Oryctolagus cuniculus: one gene and its partners. The protein of the gene in region 2 interacts with the protein of the main gene of each other region in a pairwise test. Links are inferred from orthologs where the notes say so. Each region holds a gene or a part of one and is shown on either strand. Other genes may lie near its edges.

Evidence for each region.
Region 1: the proteins of NUDT3 (region 2) and ASB13 interact in a two-hybrid assay, tested with the Homo sapiens proteins (2 studies listed by BioGRID and IntAct). The link is inferred for Oryctolagus cuniculus from reciprocal best matches to the Homo sapiens genes NUDT3 and ASB13.
Region 3: the proteins of NUDT3 (region 2) and RPLP1 interact in a two-hybrid assay, tested with the Homo sapiens proteins (2 studies listed by BioGRID and IntAct). The link is inferred for Oryctolagus cuniculus from reciprocal best matches to the Homo sapiens genes NUDT3 and RPLP1.

The regions. Positions count from the first base shown.
Region 1 is NC_091444.1:79,539,129-79,542,775, forward strand, and holds part of ASB13 (ankyrin repeat and SOCS box protein 13), read right to left. Parts: intron 2,438-3,647; coding exon 2,303-2,437; intron 1-2,302. UniProt on the Homo sapiens protein: May be a substrate-recognition component of a SCF-like ECS (Elongin-Cullin-SOCS-box protein) E3 ubiquitin-protein ligase complex which mediates the ubiquitination and subsequent proteasomal degradation of target proteins.
Region 2 is NC_091436.1:135,069,521-135,073,167, reverse strand, and holds part of NUDT3 (diphosphoinositol polyphosphate phosphohydrolase 1), read right to left. Parts: exon of another isoform or gene 3,548-3,647; coding exon 3,503-3,547; exon of another isoform or gene 2,497-3,502; coding exon 2,412-2,496; exon of another isoform or gene 1-2,411. UniProt on the Homo sapiens protein: Cleaves a beta-phosphate from the diphosphate groups in PP-InsP5 (diphosphoinositol pentakisphosphate) and [PP]2-InsP4 (bisdiphosphoinositol tetrakisphosphate), suggesting that it may play a role in signal transduction.
Region 3 is NC_091443.1:92,102,101-92,105,847, reverse strand, and holds the start of RPLP1 (large ribosomal subunit protein P1), read right to left. Parts: upstream 2,682-3,747; 5' UTR 807-2,681; coding exon 735-806; intron 428-734; coding exon 353-427; intron 1-352. Other genes in the region: kinesin-like protein KIF23, read right to left, coding at 3,728-3,743. UniProt on the Homo sapiens protein: Plays an important role in the elongation step of protein synthesis.

The DNA of each region.
Region 1 (3,647 bases), on a different chromosome or scaffold from region 2:
GACATTAAAAACTCTCAGCTTCACGCTTCAGAGAAACAAGTCAAAATTGGCTCATTACCAAAATCTTGATTTCAAAGCAACGTGAGATAAAAGTGGATTCAAAGCAAAATCATGGCTGGCAAGGTGAAGGGATTCCCTGATACTCTTTAGTATGCCAGGAGCCAGCAGAATAAGCACAGATAGCCCACTACATGCTTTTTGCAACAATAAACTGTAAAACAATTGTGATAAGCACTGTGCTGAGAGAAAGGCAGCATAATGACAGCACTACTTCTGAATATTTTCAGCAGAGTTAAATATTTACTACTAGTGATTAGATTAAAAATTACTTCACCTTAATAACTGGACTTTCACCTTCCCTAGCCCTCCTCCTTTGCAAATATAACCTAGTTCCTTGATTTGGCCTCAGTGCCTACAAAGGAAACAAAAAGAACAACCACCTCTGTGTCCATCCTGTGGAGCACAACACAGCTTAGCTTCTGACGAAGTCCCCAACACAACTCAGCTTCTGACGAAGTCCCCAGGCCCTCTCTGATTCACCTGTGAAAGCACCTGTATGCACTTGTTTTGCTTAGGGGCATGGCCCATGTAAGCCAATCAGAATGTGGCAAAAGTTCAAGCCAAAGCCTCTGTTTAGGTTTGGACATTAGGGTCCAACTCGGGCCAACAGGACATGAGGGGAGGTGTGCCCAAGACATCTGGGACAGATTTTTCCAGTCTGTCAAAGAGGGCTGGCATTGTGACACAGCAGGTTAAGCAGTTGCCTGTGACTTGGCATCCCATATGGAAATGCCTATTTGAGTCCCAGCTGCATTGCCTCTGATCCAGCTCCATGATACTGTGCCTGGGAAAGCAGTGGAAGATGGTCCAAGTGCTTGGGCCCTGCCACCCACACAGGAGACCTGGATGGAGTTCCAAGCTCCTAGCTTTAGCCTTGATCAGCTCTGGCAGTTGTGGCCATTTGAGTAATGAAACAGTGGATGGAAGATCTTTCTCTATCACTTCATCTTTCAAAATAAATACATCTTAAAAAAATTATCAGAGCCTCAAAAAGTGAAGTCTGACCATTCCTCCTAAGCCAGGCCTGGGTAAAGCTATCATGGAGAAAAGTAGAGTTGCAAAAATCAAAGAAAGGGAGAACTTGGTGACACTGTTGAAAAAGCAGGTCAGGCTGACCCTAAACCGTCTCTACTTCTCATCTTTTAAGTTAAATGAACCAATAAATATCCTTAATACCAATTAATATCCTTAAACAGTAAATACACTATTTACTCAGGTGCAATAGATGTAATATTCCTTACAAAGGAGTCACAAATGATACAAGGTCCTAAACAATACAGAAAGGACGTTGTGTTAAAACAATAAGTTGATTCTTTCCCTGCAGTCACACAAAAAGAAACTGAAGAAAAAATTGAATTTGCATGTACCGAGTGAATGGAGCACAACAGTAATAATACTGCCCCACATTGGCACAAATGGATCCAGCCACCAGAGGAGAGCTTGGCTGAAGACTGATGTCTGTTTCTAATCAAGATATCTCATCACGGTATAAAAATGTTTAGAAACCTTAACAAGCCTTACACAAAATTAATCTTTCCACTGCAAGACTCCAAAATGGCTCATTTAAGTAAGAGCCTCCAAAAGAAAACTCCACATTACTTAAACTCAAATGGCTGTCATCTGAGGGAAACTCATATCTTTCTGTTTCTGAACATTTTGTTTTTTATCCTAGGTTAACAGTCAGCACTGATGAAATGGCTGAGCTACAATTTTCCCTCAAACATTTTAAATTTGATTCCTATTAAAACCCTTGGCCAATATTCTCTTTGGCAACATCTTAAATCTGATGTAGGCAGATCCTGTCGCTAACCTTCAGTTGGCTGAATGTTTTGGTTTTTTTTCCCCATCTTGGCAATCTCTCTATCCTGAGCCTTTTTTGGACACCCTCAATTCCAAAAGCTCCATTCTCTTAAACACAGCAGACTCCTTTTCCCATTATTTCCTCATCTCTCAGATTCAGAAAGCAGCCTTATCAAGCAGACAGTTGTTTGATTCCCCCAGAAATAATCATTAACATTTGTTGAGCACAAACTACACAGAAGGGCCAGGGAAAACATCATCACAAATCCTTCCAACAATCTTGCAAAATGAGTTTATTTTTCCAGTTTTATAGACATACAAATTGAGACCCAAGCTCTCAGCTGGCAAGTGGAGACCTACATTCAAATCCTGGTCTGTCTGATCCTGACAGCTGGCTCTCACCCACATAGGTAAATACCAGCTCAGGTAAACACCCACGCACCTGCATTGAGCAGCACTTTGACACAGTCCAGATGCTCTCGTGCACAGGCTACATGTAGAGGGGTCCCAAAATGGCAATCGTGTGCTTCCAGGTTGGCCCCAACGTCAATAAGAAGTCTCACACATTCGGAACTCCCTTAAAATAAATGGAAAAGGATGGAAAACACTCATGGATATATAGACTGGACATAGTAAGCATGACAGAAACAGCAGCTGCTCTAAATCAGCCTGAATTTGGCTGCAGGGAACATGAGGGGAAACAATGTATATATCCCAACTGAAGGAGCAGTTTATGACCCCATGTGGCCCTAGGGAACCAAGGAACAGCTGTCTTGTCCTTTCTCTTGAGAAGTGGGATGTTTCACAGCCTACATGGCAGAGGGACAAAAGGGCTGTGTTGTGAGAACAGATTTGGGACCCTCTCCAGGAATGGACACAGAAGAGTCCTGGCTGCCCCTGCACTGCATCTGGGGAGTGTCCAGCCCATGATGACAACATGCTGCTGGCATCCCAATCCTGCCTCCTGGATGAACTCTCTTGGACTTTCCCACCAACATAAGGGTTGCCCTCTAGCCATACTGAGGCTGCCACCTTCTCCCTGGCTTGGCTTCTTGTGTCTTGAATGCAGCATGGATCAAAGTTTGGTGTCCTCTTGCCTCTCTTCCTGGCACATTCTGCCCCAGGCCTATCCTCTCATCTCTTCTTCACTATTGGTAGCTACCCAATTTCTACCTCTAACCCTGAAACTGAGCCCCACATCTAAAACTGGCTATTCTCTGGATATCTCAACTACTACAGTCCTCTTTCCTCTCCCACCATCTCTGCTTTTGGCCAATTCCTCTCAGCCAGCGGCATCACTCCCAGCTCAAACTCAAGTTATTTTTAACCACTTGTGCCTTTCTCTGATACAACTAAATCCTATTGACTCTTCCCCCAAACCTTGTAAAGGAATCCATACCACAACATCATCCTACTTTAGATACTAAGTACAATGTACATAGATCATTACAATGGCCCAACCTCATCCTTCTGTTTCCAAGATATTTCCCCAACCATGACTTTAGTCTGTCTCTATACAGATGGCTGCTAAAATAACCTTTCAATATTTTGCTACCTTGTCATTCAATACCAGCTCAAAAACCTCTAAGACCTCTCAGCAACAATCCTGCAGTGTCAAAAGATGATATCACTGAGAAAATTAGGGGTAAGGCAGTAGGGAGGAACACCCCCATTTGGCCCCAAGGAGGAAGGCATACCTCACACCCCACATCCCAGAGAAATGCATCCAAATACCAATCAAAATAGAGGTTACAGGGATAGGCATTTAGCCTAGAGGCTAAGATGCC
Region 2 (3,647 bases):
CTTTGTTTTGTTTTCATTTCAACTTTTTTTTTTTTTAAGTTTTATTTTTTATTTATTTGAAAGGCAGAGTTAAAGGCACGAGGAGAGACACAGTACACGATCTTCCATCTGCTGGTTCATTCCCCAAATGGCCGCAATGGCCCTGGCTGAAGCCAGGAGCCTGGAACTTGGGCCATATTCCACTGCTTTCCCAGGTGCATTAGCAGGGAGCTGGATCTGAAGTAGAGTAGCCAGGACTCAAACCGGCACCCATATGCTTAATCTGCTACAACACAATGCCAGACTCTCAACTTACTATTTTAATGTAGCTCTATATAACTCTTTTATTATTATTTTTAAAAATTTATTTTATTTATTTGAAATACAAAGTTACAGGAAGAGGTAGTGACAGAAAGATCTTCCATCTGCTGGTTCACTCCCCAAATGGCTGGAACGGCTGGAGCCAAGCCAATCCAAAGTCAGGAGTTTCTTCTGGGTCTCCCACACAGGTGCAGGGGCCCAAGGACTTGGGCCACCCATACTCTGCTGCTTTCCCAGGCGCATCAGCAGAGAGCTGGATCAGAAGTGGAGCAGCCAGGACTTGAACTGGTGCCCACATGGGATGCCAGCACTGCAGGCCGGGGCTTTAACCTGCTGTACCACAAGACCACCCAAGACTCTTTTTTTAAAAAAATATTTATTTATTTATTTGAAAGGCAGAATGAGAGAGGGCGGAGAGACAGAGAGATTTCCCCTCCACTGCTTTACTCAAGTGGCTGCAACAGTGAGGGCTGGACAAGACTGAAGCCAAGAGCCAGGAACTCCATGTCTCCCACGTGGGTGAGAGGGTTCCAAGCACTTGGGCCATCCTCCACTGCTTTCCCAGGATACATTAGCATCAGGGAGCGGGATTAGAAGCAGAGCAGCTGGGACTCGAACTGCCACTCAAATATGGAATGCTGGCATCCTAAGCAGCAGCGTAACCTGTTGTACCACAATGCCTGCCCTGTGTTGTATGTTTAAGACCCCCCCCCCTTTTTTTTTTCTAGTAAGGGTAATTCCAGGAAGGCCATTTGGAAGGAAGCTCAAAGGCTTACTCTCCCACTGGATAGTAACAGAGCAACTGGTGCCTTAAAAATTAGTGCTATGAATGTGAGGTTCTTGCCAGACAGACTGACCTGAGGACAGGACCACACTGTATTCATTTCTGCCTCCTTTCCAGCCCTCAGCACTGGTTATCAAGGAGTTTATTTTCAGTATATCCATACTGAAAGCATTTATTTAAGCATACCGCATTATTATTAGGTATAAAGCCATTAGGAGAAGAAGAGCTATGAACCATCCATGTTAACAGCAGGAGGGGTATATGGCAGCAAAGTGCATACTAATAATAAAGGAAGGGTTTTGGTGAACAAATTTTATCTGCCTGCCAATCTTTCTTTCTTTTTTCTTTTTTTTTTTTTTTTTTGACAGGCAGAGTAGAGAGAGAGAGAGAGAGAGAGAGAGAGAGAGAGAGAGAAAGGTCTTCCTTTTCCGTTGGTTCACCCTCCAATGGCCGCTGCGGCCGGCGCACCGCGCTGATCTGAAAGCAGGAGCCAGGTGCTTTTCCTGGTCTCCCATGGGGTGCAGGGCCCAAGCACTTGGGCCATCCTCCACTGCACTCCCGGGCCACAGCAGAGAGCTGGCCTGGAAGAGGGGCAACCGGGACAGAATCCGCTGCCCCAACCGGGACTAGAACCCGGTGTGCCGGCGCCGCAAGGCGGAGGATTAGCCTAGTGAGCCGCGGCGCTGGCCTCTGCCTGCCAATTTCTAACAGCAATTATGCTGCTCTAGAACATACTTTGCTTCAGAGGCAAAAAATCAAAACATGAGTGAACCATACAGCACCTCAGCTGCTTGTTCAGGACAGACACACAGCAGTGGTCTGAGAGAAAATGGATCCTCAGGAGAAAGCTGGGTGTCCCTGCAGGGCAGGTACCAGGAATAAAACTGGAAACGACCCCTCCCACCTTACATCTACTGATCGCCTTTGAGGGCAGGGCTGCCATCCAAGAGTTTTCTGTATCAGTATGATTGAGTGCCGTGAGGAGTAAGGCCAGGGTCCTGCTTCACCTCCTGGCAGTGAGCGGGCCCTCCGTCCATGTCTGCCCAGGAGGTACCAAAGCAGAACCCTCTAGAGATGATCCACTGTGATAACAGAAACAATCACTCGACTTTTATGGGCCATGTTTCTATTTGTTGACAATGTACCCAACACAGCTTCCTTTCACACATTTCAAAATACTAGCTTCTCAAGTTCAAAATACATACACGCTTGCTTTACCACACACAGCCTTGTGTTATTTCTTCTGTTACCAGGCTCTTGGGGAAGGACCTAAAGTGAGGCAAGGGCTGGTGCTGGGACTCAGTGGGCCTCTCTGGTGACGACTTACCAATGTTCACGGAGTCCTCCCAGTCCTCCAGCACTTCTGTGACAATGAGCACATACACATACGTCCTGTGCTTCCTCTCCTGGTTCTGAAAGGACAGCGGAGATTACTTTCATGTAACACGGTCACCACACTGTCTAGAGCACAGGCACAGGACTCCTCTTCCTTTATCTTGCCCTACAATCACGGCCCATTTCTTCAGTTTCATTTCACCTGAAAGGCAGAGACAGAGCAGCAGCCAGAGAGAGCTCTTCCACTCGCTGAGTCACTCCCCCAACGCCTGCAACAGCAGGGGCTGGGGGCCAGGCTGAAGCCAGGAGTGCAGAATTCAGTCTAGGTCTTCTACTGTGTGGCAGGGACCAAAGGACTTTAGCCATTACCTGCTGCCTCCTAGGGCCACACGAGCAGGAAGCTGAACAGGAAGCTGAGCCGCTGAGCCGAGAATCAGGCACCGTGACATGGGATGCAGGCATCCTGAGCAGTGAGTGATTTAACAGCTGCACCAGATGCCTGCCTCTCGGCCAATTTGAATGAATTCAGGGTGTGTTCTCTGGCCCACTTCTGGAGCTGAAGTTTTATACTCATTCTCCCTTCTCCTTCCTCCAGCTGCAGGTTCACATGAACACTGTGACTTCTCAATGAGCAGCACGTCCGTTTAACCAGTGAGACAGTGGGTAGGGACGGCGTGGTGCCGCCATCGAGGCCGACAAGCCAAGTGTCTTGAACACTGCCCTCTTTCCAAACCACTCTGCTCATCTTTATCCCACAGTCTCCCACGCCTTCCACTTCATTTCAAATCCCCCTTCCTCTGCGACAGCTCCGTGTCTGCTAATTTTCCTCTTTTCTCGACACTTACCTATCTTTCCTCCCACCTTGGGAACAGAGATAGAAAAGTGGGAATGGGCTATATAGTAAAGCAAATTATTCCAGTTGTCTAGAGGAGAAGCCCGCAGGATTTGAAGAGAGAATGCTAGTTATCCTCTGATGGTGCTTCTGCATTTACACAGGTGACAGAGATGGCCTCTTCCCTCAATTAGGATATATGTGGTTATTATATTAACATACATTTATACCAAAAGGTGTAGAAGACTTACCTCAAAAATTCCAACTAGTCTTCCCAATGTCCCTTTTACTCCAGCCTGAAAAATGAAAGGGAAAAATTAACACACTGTTTCCCGCGGGCCTTAATGGCAGCCTTCTGGAGCAGTCTGTAAAACAGAAAGAAAAGACCAGAGGACA
Region 3 (3,747 bases), on a different chromosome or scaffold from region 2:
TCCCTATTTCAGACTGCTGGCCGCCTGGGCCATTTTCAAAGGGGGATTTACTAAAAGCTGACCCGGGTGCATACTGTCACTCTTGCGAAACCCCAGCACACAGGCCAACGAGAGCCTTCCAAGGCTATTATTAGCCTTCAGCGGCCTGCACCAGCTCCGGCCAGGGGCCCCGTCTCCATCGGCCTGGAACACGGGCGGCCGGCAAAGCCCAGCGCCCCACGGGAGTCCGGGAAAGCAAGCGCTCCTCTCGCTTTCTGATAAGGAACGAAGAGCCGGGTCTGACCAGCCGGAGCTTACTTAGGGGGCTGGGGCGTAGGGACAAGCGCTCCTGACCTGGTCCAGTCGGCCTTACCTTCGCGAACAAGCCAGGCCAGAAGGGCTCCACGTTGACGCCAGCTGCTTTAATGAGGGCGTTGATCTTGTCCTCCTGAAACCGACAGAGCGCCGGCTAGCGGGGCACCACCGGGGGCACAGCCACGCTCCCCGCTCCCCCCCGGACGCCCACTTCCAACCCGCGCCCGCCACCAGCGACGCGACGCGCCCCGAGCCCGGGCTCTGCCAGGGCTTCCCGGGTCACGCGGCCAGGCCGGGGGCGCCGAGCAGGGCTCCCGTGCCGCCCCCATGCCTCCCAGCGCGGGGGCCCGCCCGCCCGCGGCCCAGCACGGGGCCGGCCCGCCCGCCCGCCGCGCCGGAAGGGACGCCGGGACCGCGTGGACCGGCCGCCCCGCACTCACCGTGACGGTCACCTCGTCGTCGTGCAGGATGAGGGCGGAGTAGATGCAGGCGAGCTCGGAGACGGAGGCCATGGTGCGGGGCTGGTGGGGCTGGCGCTGCCGGGCGCGGTGCTAGTCGCCGGATGAAGTGAGGGCCTCACCCCAACGCGGCCTTAGCTTCCTCGGAAGAACCGAGCACCTTGGCGGCAGCTGAGGAAAGGGGGCTGTGCGCCTGCGCACAACTTCTTATACGGCCGCTCGAGCCAATCGGCGCCCGTGCAGGGCGGAAGGGGCGGGACGGAGGGGGGGTGACGTACGCGCCTGCGCTGTGCGCGGAGCTCGTTGTGGGAGTTTGTCCGCCGCTGCGAGATGCCGGCTCTCCGGACCTGGCCGAAGCGTGGGTCTGGCGAACCGGGACGGCGTTTAGGAAGAGGGAACATGCTCACTGGATCCAGGCGCGGCTGACTGCGCCCCGCACCGGTGTGAGAGCGTTTGAGCCGGGTCCCGGCCCTTCGGTGAATTAATACCCAGGGTATATATCGTGAAAATCTTACACCAGCGAACTAAGGAGCGACGTCTCCGAAAACTTTCAGTCAGAGAAACCACGCTGAAACCCAACAGCTGTTTCCCCAGAGCCTTGGAAAGTGGGAAACATAAAGGCTAACTTCCATATCCTAGTAAAGGGTGCCCATCAAAACCTTACTGGGGGCCGGCGCCGCGGCTCACTAGGCTAATCCTCCGCCTGCGGCGCCGGCACCCCGGGTTCTAGTCCTCCGCCTGCGGCGCCGGCACCCCCGGGTTCTAGTCCCGGTCGGGGCGCCGGATTCTGTCCCGGTTGCCCCTCTTCCAGGCCAGCTCTCTGCTGTGGCCCGGGAGTGCAGTGGAGGATGGCCCAGGTGCTTGGGCCCTGCACCCGCATGGGAGACCAGGAGAAGCACCTGGCTCCTGACTTCAGCTGGAACTGTGCTAAACCAAAGCCAGGAGCCGGGTGCTTCTTCCAGGTCTCCTCCACGAGTGCAGGGGCCCAGCATTTGGACCGTCTTCTACTGCCTTCTCAGGCCACAGCAGAGAGCTGGATGGAAAGTGGAGCAGCGCACATATGGGATGCCGGCACTGCAGGTGGCAGCTTTACCCACTATGCCACAGTGCCGGCCCCGTGACCATCATTTTTAAAATCTGAAAACTATGAAGAGGCCACCTTTGTGGTGGCATCCGCACCCCTGAGCCCTGGTTGAGTCCAGGCTCCTCCACTCCCCATCCAGCTCCTTGCGAAAGAAGCGAGATGGCCCAAGTATTTGCGCCCCTGGACCCACGCGGAGACCCTGCAGCTCCTGGCTCCTGGTTTTGGCTGCCTTTGCCCTTGCGGTTGTGGCCATTGGTGGAGTGAACCAGTGGATGGAAGATGTCACTCTGTAACTCTGCGTTTCAGATCAATGAATTTAAAAACCTTATGGACCATCAAAGGCAACCTTAGAAGAATGATGGGACGATCCTACAGTCGATAATTCTAATGATGTAACTTCAATCAAAATTCCATTAAGGTTTTCAATAGAATCTGACAAGCTGACCTTAAATTTTAAATGTAAGGATCAAAGGCCAGTAATAACCAGGACGATTTTTTAAAGCAGACAGACTTAATTAAAATCCAAGAACACAAACTTCACCACTGCAATCCCTGTGCCCAAAACATGGCACATAGAAGATGCGCAAGTATATATTAGATCAATGTTTCAAAGTGTTACTGGGATGCCTAGAGATGCATGGATCAGAATAGAATAGAAACCCAAAAAACGCACCTTCATGGGAACTTGGCAGTGTCAGAACTATAGTTTTACAAATCCAAAGTGGATTGGTTGGCAACAGGTGACAGAACAAGTACCTGAGAATCCTCTCTGCCTCTGAAATAAGTGAAAAATCCTGGAGTTTCTACTGAAATAGGAAGCATTCTAAAAATACATGTAATTTTCCTATTACACTTTGAGTGACACGTGGATTGTCTTTCTCCTTAGCCTTTGAAACTGCTTTTGGTCAGGACTAATATCATCCTTTCAATATTGATTTTAAAAATGCACAAACTATCATGTTAAAAAGTTCAGCCTTAAAAGAAATGCAAACTTAACAAGCAAACAGGCTCACTCAGGCAAGAATAGCTATTTCACCAGGATTTTCCACAGTGCTTTCTGTTTTGTGCCAAACTGTGTTTTCTGTTTAAATGTCTGGGAGAGCGCACTTATTCTGTAGGAATTATGGTTGTCAGACAAAAAAGGCATTTCCCATTTAACAGATTACTTCCCGTGGGCATTTTCCAGGGCTTTCTTCTCATTCAGTTCACAAGGAAGAGTGCCAGGTGAAAGCGAGACGCGTGCTTGCTGCGGCTAGTGTGTGTGTGAAATGAATGACCATCACACCTCTGTGGTTCTGAGTGCTTTTTATTTCAATTCTTTTGGCATATCTAAATGTCAGAAAGTGAGTATATATATACAAAATGCAAAACACCTTCTGAAAATGGTTTTATTATGGGCCAGTCCCGATATCTTTATTTTGAAAGTTTCAATTGTCAAATATGTCTAAAGTGCATTCTTGCAGCTAATCAATAGCAGCATTTGTTTCGTTTATAAAACCCAAGAAATACTCAGACCAGAGCTGGAGAAGTCACAATAAAAAACGAAGCGTGATCTAGATATTACCTTAATTATACCAAGACAAACAGCTGTGTGAATTAGTTTATAAGTCCATAAGAAATATACAAGAAACAGCATTATAAAAAGTCCATACAGCAATGAGCCCGGGGTCTTGCTCTGCTGGGAATATTAAATACGGTGAGGCACATAATATACAAGGTCTGCTGACTGCTGCGTGTCTTTGGAACCATCAGGGAAGCGCTGCTCTAGGCCAGTGTCTGACAGGGCTGAGGTCTGGGACGTCCAGCGAGGCCGCAGGAGGCTGCTCTCCGTGGCTTCGGAGCAGTCACCAGCAACAGTGACGACGCTCTGCCGCTACTGGGGCTGTCTTGTTCATGGCTTCTTGCGCCTAA